Drosophila melanogaster: one gene and its partner. The protein of the gene in region 2 purifies or fractionates together with the protein of the main gene of each other region. This does not show direct contact. Each region holds a gene or a part of one and is shown on either strand. Other genes may lie near its edges.

Region 1 (6,809 bases), on a different chromosome or scaffold from region 2:
GTACACAATAGTTGGCATTCTCTATCGACGGCTGTGCCGAAAGCGTCGTCTTAAGTGTTTTCAGTGACTTGAGAAACTCGTCGAAATAAAATGTTCGCACTAAGGTCTCTAGTTCTGCGCAACACGAGATGGAGCTACATGTCTTGGTGTAGGCCAGCGAGTCGCCCATCTTGCGGTAGCAGTTAGCTAGTTCAAGCAGCGTCTGCGAGCTCAGCATGTGCCAGTTCTCTGCCTTCAGCTCCCTGAGAAGATCCGTAAAGAATCCAACAGCTTTATGTGGCTCATTTAGAGCGCAGTAGAAGTTTCCCAGGTCCAGGCCAACCAAACGGGCCGATCGCAAGCGTGTCACATGCTTGTACGTACTGATGGCCAACTCTGCCAGCTCCAGGTAGAGCTTCTGGAAGGCTTGATTCGAGCCCAGGGCTTCCTTAAGCTGCTCAGCCCCCGATTTCTTGGGCTTACGATTGGGAGACCGGTCTCGTAGCTGAGGTGTCGCCTGGAGGAACTGATGCTGCTCGGACGGCGCATCTCCAATTCCCGACGATAGCTGCACCACTATGTGCAACTGCTCCGAAGTTGGCGTGCAGCCGGGCAAGAGGCCACACAGTTTGCCGAGCTCGTAGAGCTTATCCTTGGCCAAGTTCCAGATGGGAGCACAGTGCTGGAAACATGTTAGCTCGTTGGGTTCCATAGCCTGTTCGCACAGCTGCAGGACTTCCAGAGCACAAACAAACTCCCAACAGCAAAGAGCGCCCTCCTGACACTCCAGCTTTATGAGCTCCACCTCGCGCAGTGTGGAAAACAAAAAGTTCAGAAGCCTCTTCGCGATTTCTGGGATGTCATTGCAAGTAAGCAGCAAATAGGCTTGACGTTCGAAAAGATAGTTGCGGAATTCCAACAGAGAAACGCCTTCATCGCGGATTTTGTTCCTCATTTCGAACTTGTCCGCTCGGGTCAGACATATACCATGGAAAGCGTCCAGGGGCTTGCGAAAATGGTTCAACCACTGCTGCTTCTCGTTGAGACCAGTGTGAGTTATGAACTGCGAGAACATGGCGTCCAGTTCATCGTACTGTATCAACGCCTCGGTGGGCAATTCCAGCTTTTCAAAGATCAACGCAAGGTCTTCCTGCATAAAGAAGTATTGGCGGAAATCCCAGCCTTCAATGTTTCTCTTTTCGCGCTTGCTCCGTATTAGTTCCTCGTACTTAACTATGTTCCGATTGTAGCTGGTGAGCATAAGGAAGCGAATACGCTGCACTAGGCAGCGGAAGGACTCGGTGGATTTCTGTTCAAACTTGGCCGGGTTCAGAACTGAGATGCAGCGGTCGTCGTTCTTCGTGCCAAAATCCAACCGTATCTTATCTAGCACAGTGGTGCGTGGCATGAAGTTCTTTGTCTTCCGCATGTCCAGTGTTTCGACCAACAGAATCATCCAATCCGAGACGCCATAACTGGTTAATGTTTTTAACCAAATGTCGATTGCCTCCCTGATCGTGGCTTTGTAGGTGTCCACATCCTGAAAGATAGTTAATGGAGGTGGATTTAGAGATTCCTACAGGATCAGTTAACTCACATTGCACTCGGTGACGAAAATGTGCAGTATGGGGTGCTCCAAGATGCTCCAGTCACCCTGCTTGTACTTCTCCAAGGCCGCAACATTGAACTGCTGTGCCTGGGCTTCCAAGCGAACATGTTTCGTGGGGCGTTGGAAAGTGCGTCGCCACTCGCAAGTGTCCAGTGGAATCGCGTTCAGGATCTGGGACTCCAGCGATCGGAACAGCGGGCACGAGCCAGAGTCTGTAAGTAAAGGTTTGATATGGGATTTATTGTGTTAATTTTTTACAACTCACATGTTATTATGGGCTTTATCTGCATTGTTTTTGTAAATTTCGTATGTTTTTCATTTGGCAAACGAAAGCCACACAACAATCTCAACCAAACAGCTGATAAGGCGAGGGCGGGGGAATCGATTGTTCGTTGCTATCAATAATCGGTTGACCAATTTAAAAAATATTTTAATTCCTAATGCAATGAACCATTAAATGCTAGCCTAATACAAGAAATTAATAATCTAATTAAGCAGCTTTAACTATTCGCTCAACAGGTGTGCTTTCAGCAGCCCTGGTCAAGGGCGTAGAGAAAAAGTAGAAGGATATGCAGAATAAAATATGGTTAGATGAACCAAACTAAATGGTTTTTAATTGGTAGAGAAAGCCTTCTTTTATTAAAAAATATTAACAAAAAATGTTTTCACTTAAATTTGTTAAGGGGTATATGAGGGGTATATCCCTTTTGCACCACACCTCAGTTTTTTATGGCTTGGCTAAAAATCGATACCACCCACAGTCGCCTATCGAACAGCTGATAGTGAAATCAGATTCGGTAGCTAATTGAAAACGAAACAATGAAGAAATAATATTTGTTTTTCACACGCCACAAAGAGACACTTAAGAGAAACTTTCACTGAATGCGCGGCCAGGTCTCGACTGGAAATTAGCCAGCCCCAGCATGGACATGGCCAGGAGCATTTTTGGCCGCGACCATGAGGGTTACGTGGGCCGTGAAGAGCATACGGTGCGTCTAAATTGACCAGAAAAGATTGCTTATCATGGTAATTAATATTTATCGTTCCACTGCCAACAGCGCAAACTGCAGAACCTGGGCTCGGAAGACGATCTGGGAGAGCTGCCGCCTATGATGGAGGAACTAAGTGTGGCCGATGGCCTGCGACCAAATCCCGGTGGGCCATTCTCCGCTCTTACCGCCTCCATGTGGCCACAGGAAATCCTAGCCAAGCTGGGCGGTGGCGCGGAATTGGCTTCCGGCCCAAACGACCAGCCGGAGTACCGTTTTGACGAATTTGGCTTCCGGGTGGAGGAGGAGGACGGTCCGGAGCAGAGCTCCAACAAATTGCTGAGCATACCCTTTGTAGAGGACGCGCAGCAGCGATTGCAGTGGATCGCCCACCTGGAGTTCTCACACAACAAGGAGGCTGCCGAGCTGAGCTGGGAGCATGTGGATGTAATGCTCCCACGCACAGAAAAGCTGCGCAATATGGTCCGTCAGGGTATCCCGCACACGTTGCGTGCCCAGATGTGGATGCGTCTATCAGGAGCGTTGGCCAAGAAGCAAAAGAGCGAGACCAGCTACCACGATATAGTTAAAGGTAGATCGAACGCGACAAGAAAGGTTATAAATACATTATTAATATACACCTAATTTGATAGCTTCTAGCAATGACCAGCTGATGACTTCGAAGCAGATCGAGAAGGACCTTTTGCGCATCCTGCCAACAAATGCCTGCTTTAGCAATCCGAATGGGACAGGCATTCCCCGATTGCGCCGCATTCTGAGGGGCATCGCGTGGCTTTTTCCTGACATTGGCTACTGTCAGGGCACCGGAGTGATCGTTGCCTGTCTGCTTCTCTTCATGGAGGAGGAGAACGCCTTTTGGATGATGGCCACCATTGTAGAGGATCTGCTGCCAGCTTCCTACTACAGCTCAACTCTTCTGGGAATTCAAGCCGACCAACGCGTGATGCACACGCTTATTGCCAACTACCTGAGCAGCGTGGACGAGTCCTTGCGTAAGCACGACATCGAGCTGTCTTTAATCACGCTGCATTGGTTCCTCACGCTTTTTGCCAACGTGGTGCATATGAAGATTCTTGTGCGTATCTGGGACTGGTTCTTTTACGAGGGCTCCATCGTGCTGTTCCAGTTGACTCTGGGCATGCTCAAGGTGAAGGAGCAAGATCTAAAGCATCTCGAGAACTCAGCACAGATTTTCAATTCACTGTCCGACATTCCCGGCGAGGTCACTGATGTCGAAGTGCTCTTTCGCCAAGCCCTGGAGGTGGGCGGATCACTTAGCCAGACGGTAATCGATACCCATCGTCGTCGTCACCTGGCCTATCTCATGGCGGATCAAGGACATCAGATAGGAAATCCCGAGGCTGCGCCTAATCTTCCCAAACAACAGCTAGCCCGACGGCAGGTGCGCAAAAGCAAATCCATCCTGGAAGCCTTTCTCTTCCGCGGCGACGGCAACGAAGGGGATCAGCTGAAGAACAAGAATATACGCCAGACGGAGATCCTGGTAGACTTAAGAGAGGCTATCCTTAAAGTGGGTCGTCATTTCATCACCATTGAACCCAAGCTTGCCGGTCACATCCAGCTGACGGCCAACTACAGCACCGAGTCGCATGCCAAGGACCACGAAAACTTTATCAATGTGGCAAGGACGCGAAAGCGAAGGGCTAAAGCCCTGCACGACTTTGAGCGGCACGACGACGATGAGTTGGGATTTCGGCGGAACGACATCATAACAATCATCAGTCAAAAAGACGAACACTGCTGGGTGGGAGAACTGAACGGCCTGCGCGGCTGGTTTCCAGCCAAGTTCGTGGAGCTGCTCGACGAGCGGAGCAAGTTGTACACATCAGCCGGAGATGATGCCATTTCGGAAACTGTAACGGACCTGGTGCGTGGCACCTTGGCGCCGGCCATCAAGGCCTTTCTGGAGCACGGCATGAAACGGCCCACGTTTCTGGGTGGACCAATACACCCCTGGCTGTATATTGAGGAGGCTGCCACCCGGGAGGTGGAGAAGGATTTTGAGTCGGTGTACAGCCGTCTTGTGCTCTGCAAAACGTATCGACTGGATGAGGATGGCAAGGTACTAACGCCCGAGGAGCTACTCTATCGCTGCGTTCAGGCCATCAATCAGACGCACGATGATGCGCACGCACAAATGGATGTTAAGTTACGCTCGCTGATCTGTTTGGGCCTCAACGAACAGGTTCTTCACCTCTGGTTGGAGGTGCTGTGCGCCTGCCAGGAGGTCGTACAGAAGTGGTATCATTCCTGGAGCTTTATTGACTCACCCGGTTGGGTGCAGATCAAGTGCGAGCTGCGCATTCTCTCGCAGTTCGCCTTCAATCTGAACCCCGACTGGGAACTGCCGCCGAAGCGCGGCAAGGAGTCGCAACCGCTCAAGGACGGAGTAAGGGACATGCTGGTGAAGCACCATCTCTTCTCATGGGATCTGTGAGGCTTGCTGCCGCCTTGTAAGGAGCTCCACAATCGTTGGCAATCAACTGCGTATCCAATATCTCATTGCCCCCTTCTCTGTTCTTTCATTTCTAAGTGCAATCGCAATTCTTTGAATCGAAGCTATCGCTTTTTTAAGTACTTCTTTGTTGTCGTACACCTAACTTAAGTGCTTTACCATAACGATCTGTAGCTGTAACTATACCTTTAAAACGCCCTATGTATAGCTCGAGCCGTTTGTTTACTTAATGTCCATCCATTATTATAAATCCTAGACCACACCAATCTACTAAATTACAAATGTAACGTACCTTTAATTGAAATCAAATCTTATAAAGTACAGACATATTTATTACTATATACACATAGATGTTTAACTGTCTAAATGCATTTCATTAAAGTTTAATATATATATATATATAAATTGTACGCAAAACGATTGAATTTAGTTGGACACCAATCCCAAGTAGTCGTCCATCAAAGTGCCAATTGCAAACTAGAAATATTAGAGTATTAACTTGCGAAAAGTACTTATATTTATGGAGCGTCTTACAATTCCAGTGGCATCTACTCGTGTGCCCACAATCTTCAGCCGAATCTTATCCTCTCCGGAGATAACCACATCCTCATCTTTACTCTTATAGCAGGGCGGATTCCCATTCGGGCAGAACTGCATGTCGGCGGGAATAGACTAAAAAAGAATCGCCCGTTAAAAAGTGTTACCTTAGATCCCTCAGACTTAACATACATGATGCGAAATGAAGCAGGACAGCGGGCCGATCTCTGCAAACATGCCCACTTTGTTGATCTGCTTGACCACTGCGTCCAGAACTTCGCCCTTAAATGGCCGAAAGACGATAGCTTTGTACTTGACCGGATACACCACAAATCCCTGGCCCGGCTGGATGACACCCGATCCGATTTGATCTATCGTCGTCACCGCTATCACGAATCCGTACTTTCCCGTGCAGGTGCCCTCCACTTCGGAGTAGAGTTTCTGCTTCACGGTCTCCAGCAGTTGCGGGCCAAAGTAACGTGGATGAAGCAGAATCTCTTGCTCCAGCGATATCTACGGCGCAAGGGGTTGGCATTTATTTTTGCTCTATTCGGAGAATGAAATACTCACGTGGTAAAACATTGTTAATTAAATTTAAGGTAAAAAACTAAAGTAAACAGCCGGAACCCAAAAGATGCTGCCGCAAGTGTGACCAGATTCGGAAATGTAAAAAAAACAGAAGCGCGTAATTTACCGCCAATAATTATAACGATCTGTTTAGAAAGAAAAATAAAATAATTAATTAATTAAATACGATAATTTATGGAGGTGTTCGATTTTCAAGTCATTCAACATTTCTTATATGATCAACATGAACTACAGCCCGTTCATTAAATATGGTTAAAATATAAACTCAACATTCCTTTTACAACAATTACTTTGCATATTTATTGATAATTTACCTACTGAAACACAACACTATCTAATCGTCCTTCAAGCCCAGGGCAAAGTCTTGGGCTTCCCCGCCATTCCTGAAAATCCGCACATACGCGGACTTCGGGCCAAACTTCCAAATGGCGACGTAGGGCAAGTAATAGGTGAATATGTCCACCAGCCAGACGCGGAAGTTCAAGTACCATCGCACCAGGGCATACCTGTGCAGATATGTGACGAGGAACAGGCCGTAGCTGACTATGAATCGGTCCCACCATCCCATGTCGTAGTAGTGCAGCTTCTGCTGGGGATCCTGCGCCACTCC
Region 2 (6,354 bases):
GACGGGCTACCTCGCCTAAACTTGGCGCTGGGCATCTCATCGTCATCGTCCTCCTTCTCGTTATTGTCATCGGCCTCCTCGTTCGAGCTAATGTCCACCTCCACGAGGTTTGGCGCTCCAATCATTATATCATCGCTTCGCGTGAAAAAGTCGTGAGCTCTGTTGGAATTATCATCTTCGCGCTTTCTCTTCAACAGCTTCTTGTCCATTGGTGGATTTTCTTGAGTTATTAAAGACGTATTCGATTAAACGTGGATACAGACACATGGATTAATAAGTAAAATACCTACCAAAATTTACAGGACCCTCGTCGCTGGACGAGTCTGACTCGAAGAATGTTTCGTAGTCCTTATTCATAGACTCGATATCTGCGTTGGTGAAGACCAGCAGCGGATTCAGCGTTTCGCGGAAGTTGCCGCTCTGCTCCTCCTGCTGCTTGCTGCTCGAGGGTGAGATCTCCGAACGCTCGCTGTAGTTAACCACGTGCTCGGGACTATGGCAATGGGCGGGTGGCTGGCGACCCTTGTTGCGTACCTTGCGGTCCAGTGGAAAGAGCTTCTCCTCCACGTGCTCCCAGCGCTCGGCGCAGGTCCACAACCAATTCGCATTGACCACTTTAATGGCAGGCTCTTTTTTGGCGGCGTTAACCTTGTAGGTGCCTGCGTTGACCGCCACTAGATGCGTTATCTCCTTGTCAATATTGGGCTTCACTTCGGCGCCCAGGCTCTTGGCTATGAAATACGCCCGCGACTGCTCGAGCTTCATCTGCGTGGGCACCAGGCCGGAGAACACCAGGTTCTTGCCGCGCAGCACTTCGCTCCGAATCTTCGGAACGATAACCTTTAGATCGGGTATTTCCGTGGTTTCGTCGTAAATAGAGTAGAATCGCTTGTGAATGTTACGAAGTATGACCTCTAGATACAGCAGGTAATCGTCGGGGTCTTCAATCTCTATCTGCTTTTGCCCCTCGAGCGGTGCTCGTAAGCTGGGCGTCTTAGACGTGGTGGCCACATCAGCGTCAGCAGACGGGCGCTTCTCATCCGGCGAAGTGGTGGATGAGGCTACAACCTCATTCTTTTCTGCCGGTGTGGGGGGCACCTCGGCTTTTGTGCTCTCCTTGGAATTATCATCAATAACTACTACGTCTTCGCCATCGCTGGCTGCTTTTTCAGCATCTGGTGAGCCAGATGAGCTGTCGTCTATGACCACAATATCCTCAGCATTAGTCTTGCCATTCAATTTGTCTCTCGGCTCTTTGGGTGCTTCTGTAGCGCTTGAGGCGTTGGAAACCTCTGGATCCTTGGCATCGCCCTCTATTTCGAACACGTCTACTGACTCCTCGTTTACATCGTCATCTTTGCTTGTGCTTGTGACGGTATTATCACCCTTATCGGTGTCTTCTGGTTTGACTTCGCTGCTGGATTCCGTCTTATCTTTGTCCCCATGCTTCTCGGTAATCTCTGCAACAAATGGAAATATCGTTAGAAACATTCAAGTCAGCTTGCTGGAACACCCAACCCACCTTTAAAGTCAACGCCTTCGCCATCCAGTTCATGCTTAGACAAACCCGGCGGGGCATTGATGTCACCAGTGTGTTGAAAGAAGTGGTAGGGCTTAACCTGAATCAAATTTGAAGCCATGTTCCACACATCCTCGCGATCGTCAATGATGCACACCATGGAATCGCCATTCGGAAACAGAGCCCTGTAATATACAATTTGTAGATTATTGTTTAACACGTTTAACAAGTGAAAATCCAAACAGCTTTCAGGTATAGAAACGCACTTTAAATTGTCCGTCTTGCTGGTGGCGTTGAAACACTCGTCTCTGGACAGAATCCTGTGCGAGAAGAACTTGCCCTCCGGGTCCAGCAGCTGGGCAATCATGTGCGCGTAGTTACGCGCACCAAAAGTGCAAATGTGCAGTTCGTACAGCTGGGACATGCGCTCCAGAAACTCGGCGGTGCCGGGGCGCAGGCGCGTGTGGTACCACGGGGAATGTGGGCCGTACAGCTGGAAGTGGTAGATGCCCTTGATGTTGTCCGGCACAGTGTCGTTGGTGGTGTGGATCACCGTCTGATCGAGATCGACAAGCAGGACCAGCTTCCTATCCGCCAGCAGGCGGCGGGTGTCGTCGTGCCCGAGCTTCTGGGCCAGCTTCTGGGTGACCTTAAGATCGGGCATGGTGTGCACCATTGGCACCGAGGCCTCGGAGGTCTGTCCCTGCGGGTTAAATGTTTAATTATTCTATATGCCCCTTGAGGTGGGTGGCAATGTGCACTCACATTCTCGTTCTGACGCAAGTCGGCTCCGCAGTCCGCGCACATGTCCTTGATGACCGTGGTGTGTATGCACTCGGACAGCTCCAGAATGGCATCCCTAAAGAACAGGCTCGGTTAGTGTGTATACGGCTGCATAATTGCATTCCCCCACGCCCAATCGCCGCCCGATTGCAACCCCCAAACTCACCCCTTCGTAAGAAGCTCCCCTTCCTTGCGAAGGCGCTTCTTCACCACTCCGGCGCGCTGGGACTTGTACCTCTGGATGGCACAGTCCCCGCCCGGCTTTCCCGCGTCCTTCGCGTCCTTCGCGTCCACGCCCACGGGCTGGTAAAGAAACAAGATTTGGGCCGCCGACACGAATTGTCCCTCGCGAACCCGCCATTTATTGATTACCGCTCTCGCCTCGTTCTCTCCCAGCGCAGCTCTCAAAACAATGATGCCGCCACCGCTGGTGTTGTTGTTGCTGTTGCCGCTGGCGCTGTTCTTGGCTCCGCTTCCTCCGCCGCCATCGTCGCCTTCGGCAGCTCCAGATGCGGCCACGCCCCCTGGCGCGCGGCTGGGCGTCGCGCCCTCCTCGTCCGGTATGTTCTGCATCGCAAGGCTTACGTTTTTATATACAAACGATTTGTTTAAATCCCAGTGCCTTGTTGTGTTTGCAATTTGTGTGAATATTGCGCGGAATTCGCATAAGAGCGCGGACAACTTTTGTAACTGCTCTCAAACAGCTGACTGAGCGCGAAAGGCGGAAAGTACTGATGGGGGTTTCACTTCGATTTGGTTAGTTAATGTGCGTAATTAACCATTAATTGGTAATTCAATTTATTTTACTCGTTTCTTTTAGTTTTGAGTTAAAATACAGGATATTCGTCCAAAGATATCGCAGAATCATTTGAATCAGCTGCTTTTGACCGTTAACCAACACTGTTTAATCGGCGGCAAACTAGTTCAGTCGTATTTTGTTTATTAACTTCCAAAATGAGTGATAAAACCAAGGAAGACCTGAAGCGCAGTGCCCCGGAGGAGGAGAATGAGCCCCAGGAGGAATCTGTGTCATCCGAAAAAGAGGCGGAAGGCGAGGAAGACGCCTGGATTGGACCCATGCCTTCAGAGCAGAGCGCTCCCGCGCCCGCCAAGAAAAAGAAGGGTTATTATTAAGAATTAGATTTCATTTAACTATAACTAATCAATAAATAGTCCTGCCCTATGAACACATCTACCTGGAAAACCTGCCCAATGCTGAGAGCTACGAGAGGAGCTACATGCACCGCGATGTGATCACTCATTTGGTGTGCACGAAGACGGATTTCGTAGTGACCGCCAGTCTGGATGGACACATCAAATTCTGGAAGAAGGGCGAGCTGGGCATCGAGTTCGTCAAGCACTTTCGCAGCCACCTAGGTGGGTTCTTGATCCACATAACGTGTATTTCTTCGTTTAACCAAGTGTTTGTTGCAGTACCCATCAAATCACTGACCACCAACGACAGCGGCACGCTGCTCTGCTCGGCGGCCACGGATCAGACAGCCAAGGTCTTCGATGTTGTCAACTTCGACATGATCAACATCATTCGATTGGGCTACACACCGCAGTGCAGTGAGTGGATAAATGGGCCGGGAGATGCCGTACAAGCACTGGCCATGTAAGTACCTTATCAATATCTGGAGATTAATGATTCTGATTGCTCCTCCTCCAGCTCGGATTCAGAGAGTAGCCGCATACACATCTACGACGGGCAAGGAGGCGGAGAAGCCCTTCACACCTTGGAGAAACTTCACTCGGCGCCCGTGGTGGCGATGTGCTTGAATGTGGCCATGGAGACCGTCATTTCTGTCGATCGCAATGGCATTCTCGAATACTGGCAAAACTCGAAGTACGACTACAAGTTTCCACAGCGTCTGGTGAATTTTGACTCCAAGCTAGACACAAGTATAGATCGATGATTAAGCTGAGTGAACCTAGACTCATCTAAATATTAACCTTTTAGGCCTCTTTGAGTTTGCCAAACAGAAGACCCAAGTCACGGGTTTAGCCGCCACGCCGGATGGAAAGCGTTTTGCCGCCATTTCCACAGATCGTAAGGTCCGCGTCTTTCAGTTCAACACGGGCAAGTTGATCCGGGTATTCGATGAAGCTCTATCTACATACACCCAAATGCAGCAGACGAAGCACGCCCTGCCCAACATGGAGTTTGGCAGAAGGTAAACTAGAATAAAATAGTTATTATTTATTGGTTTAAAGATATGAATTCCAGAATGGCGGCTGAGCGGGATCTGGAGAAGACTGCCCAGAATGCAACCCTTAATATTTTGTTCGACAGCACTGGCAACTTCTTGCTCTACCCAACGATGTTGGGCATCAAGGTGATCAATGTGGTAACGAATCGCTGCGTCACAATTCTAGGAAAAACCGACAACATACGGCCCCTCCAGGTGGCCTTGTTTCAAGGAAGAATTAAGCGCCAAAAAGCTGCTATAACAATGGAGCAAGAGGCCAGTGAAAACCCAGCACTCCAGAATATCCTTAACGATCCAACAGCCTTTTGCACTGCTTACAAGTTAGTTCATACCGTTTTGAATTATATCTATGCTGTATTATAATGTCCATTCTACTACTCTTATTAGAAAAAGTCGCTTCTATTTGTACAGCCGAAGACTGCCCTCGGATCTGCAGGATGTCGACCGCGATATTTTCAACGAGAAGCCCTCGAAGGAGGACATTATCGCCGTGCCGGAAGCTTCAGGTATTTTGGTTTGGCTTATCCCATTAACCTTTCTTAACTAACCCAAAACATGTTTCTATTGCACGCCAACAATATTTTAAGACGAAGGTTATTCCTATCAGATATTTCAAGAACAATTCATTACAAAATGTTCCTTCTATTCTAGTCGTGCAACGCATCTACGAGAACGTGGTGCTCCACACCACGAAAGGCGATATCCACATGAGGCTGTTCTTCAAGGAGGTTCCAAAGACGGTTGAGAACTTCTGTGTTCATGCGAAAAATGGGTATTATATATACGTCAACTGTTGAGAACTGTCCCATTGCAATCACATTATTTTGTCAGGTACTACAATGGACACATATTCCATCGCGTGATCAAGGGCTTCATGGTGCAGACTGGCGATCCCACGGGAACGGGCACGGGCGGCAAATCCATTTGGGGAAGCGATTTCAAAGACGAGTTCGTGCCGAGCCTGAAACACGATCGGCCCTACACGGTCAGCATGGCTAACGCGGGTCCAAACACGAATGGAAGCCAGTTCTTTATCACAGTCCTGCCCACGGTAAGGATGAATGCAGCGGTGATTAGTTTACTTTACTGGATTGACTAAGTACCAATCTCTAATTGCAGCCCTGGCTCGACAACAAGCACACGGTGTTCGGAAGAGTTTACCGCGGCATGGAGGTGGTTCTCAACATTTGCAATTCCAAGGCGAATCCCAAGACGGACAAGCCCTACGACGACATTAAAATTATTTCGATACACTTAAGTAATTGAGCAGAGGGCTAAAATAAAACTTTCAGCGACACTGGTTTTCAAATCTTCGGAGAACCGCCAATGCGCCGCAAAGAATTTTGGTATTTTTTTTTAACTCGGTTTTTTTGGTGTTTTCCCAGCCCGGCACACTAAACAGCTGATTCGTTTCTTGCATTCGGTGTTCCTTTTGTTTCGATAGTGCAATTAATATAAATTGGGACAACTGCAAATCTAATAGTATTATTAGAACCGGAATTAGTTGTGCACCTTCTAGTATTAGAGACTTATTAACATAACCAACCTGTGCCTACCGGAAATATAGAGGTACTTCTCGCAAATTATGCGGGTTCTTGCAAGATAATACGATACCATTTGTTTATGGCTGAGTAAAAAAAAAACAAAGAACTCCAGGCTGACGAGTCATTTGTGCGTATCGGCACTGAATCTGCTCCAGATTCGAAAACTAGGTTTATTTACATTTGCATGCAAAGGTATATTGTCTTCGATATGTGAATTGTAGTATACGTACATAGTTGCCTTTATTTCCAGACATGAGCTAGGCCAAATATAACCGCTCGCCATGTCCAATATGGA

Evidence for each region.
Region 1: the proteins of CG3511 (region 2) and CG12241 purify together in Drosophila melanogaster (affinity purification with mass spectrometry, with the first as the bait; one large-scale study listed by BioGRID). This does not show direct contact.

The regions. Positions count from the first base shown.
Region 1 is NT_033777.3:15,216,900-15,223,708, forward strand, and holds CG12241 (uncharacterized protein), read left to right. Parts: upstream 1-2,356; 5' UTR 2,357-2,511; coding exon 2,512-2,577; intron 2,578-2,646; coding exon 2,647-3,169; intron 3,170-3,230; coding exon 3,231-5,056; 3' UTR 5,057-5,472; downstream 5,473-6,809. Other genes in the region: SIDL (shal interactor of Di-Leucine motif), read right to left, coding at 1-1,519, 1,577-1,800, 1,854-1,878; Polr2G (RNA polymerase II subunit G), read right to left, coding at 5,501-5,551, 5,609-5,746, 5,804-6,124, 6,182-6,193; CG31344 (uncharacterized protein), read right to left, coding at 6,534-6,809.
Region 2 is NT_033778.4:24,568,650-24,575,003, forward strand, and holds CG3511 (uncharacterized protein), read left to right. Parts: upstream 1-2,977; 5' UTR 2,978-3,058; exon of another isoform or gene 3,059-3,122; 5' UTR 3,123-3,256; coding exon 3,257-3,425; intron 3,426-3,475; coding exon 3,476-3,679; intron 3,680-3,736; coding exon 3,737-3,920; intron 3,921-3,974; coding exon 3,975-4,207; intron 4,208-4,265; coding exon 4,266-4,479; intron 4,480-4,532; coding exon 4,533-4,835; intron 4,836-4,902; coding exon 4,903-5,021; intron 5,022-5,166; coding exon 5,167-5,287; intron 5,288-5,346; coding exon 5,347-5,566; intron 5,567-5,634; coding exon 5,635-5,781; 3' UTR 5,782-5,854; downstream 5,855-6,354. Other genes in the region: Fcp1 (TFIIF-interacting CTD phosphatase), read right to left, coding at 11-220, 291-1,460, 1,523-1,704, 1,786-2,222, 2,285-2,378, 2,469-2,875; Start1, read left to right, coding at 6,341-6,354.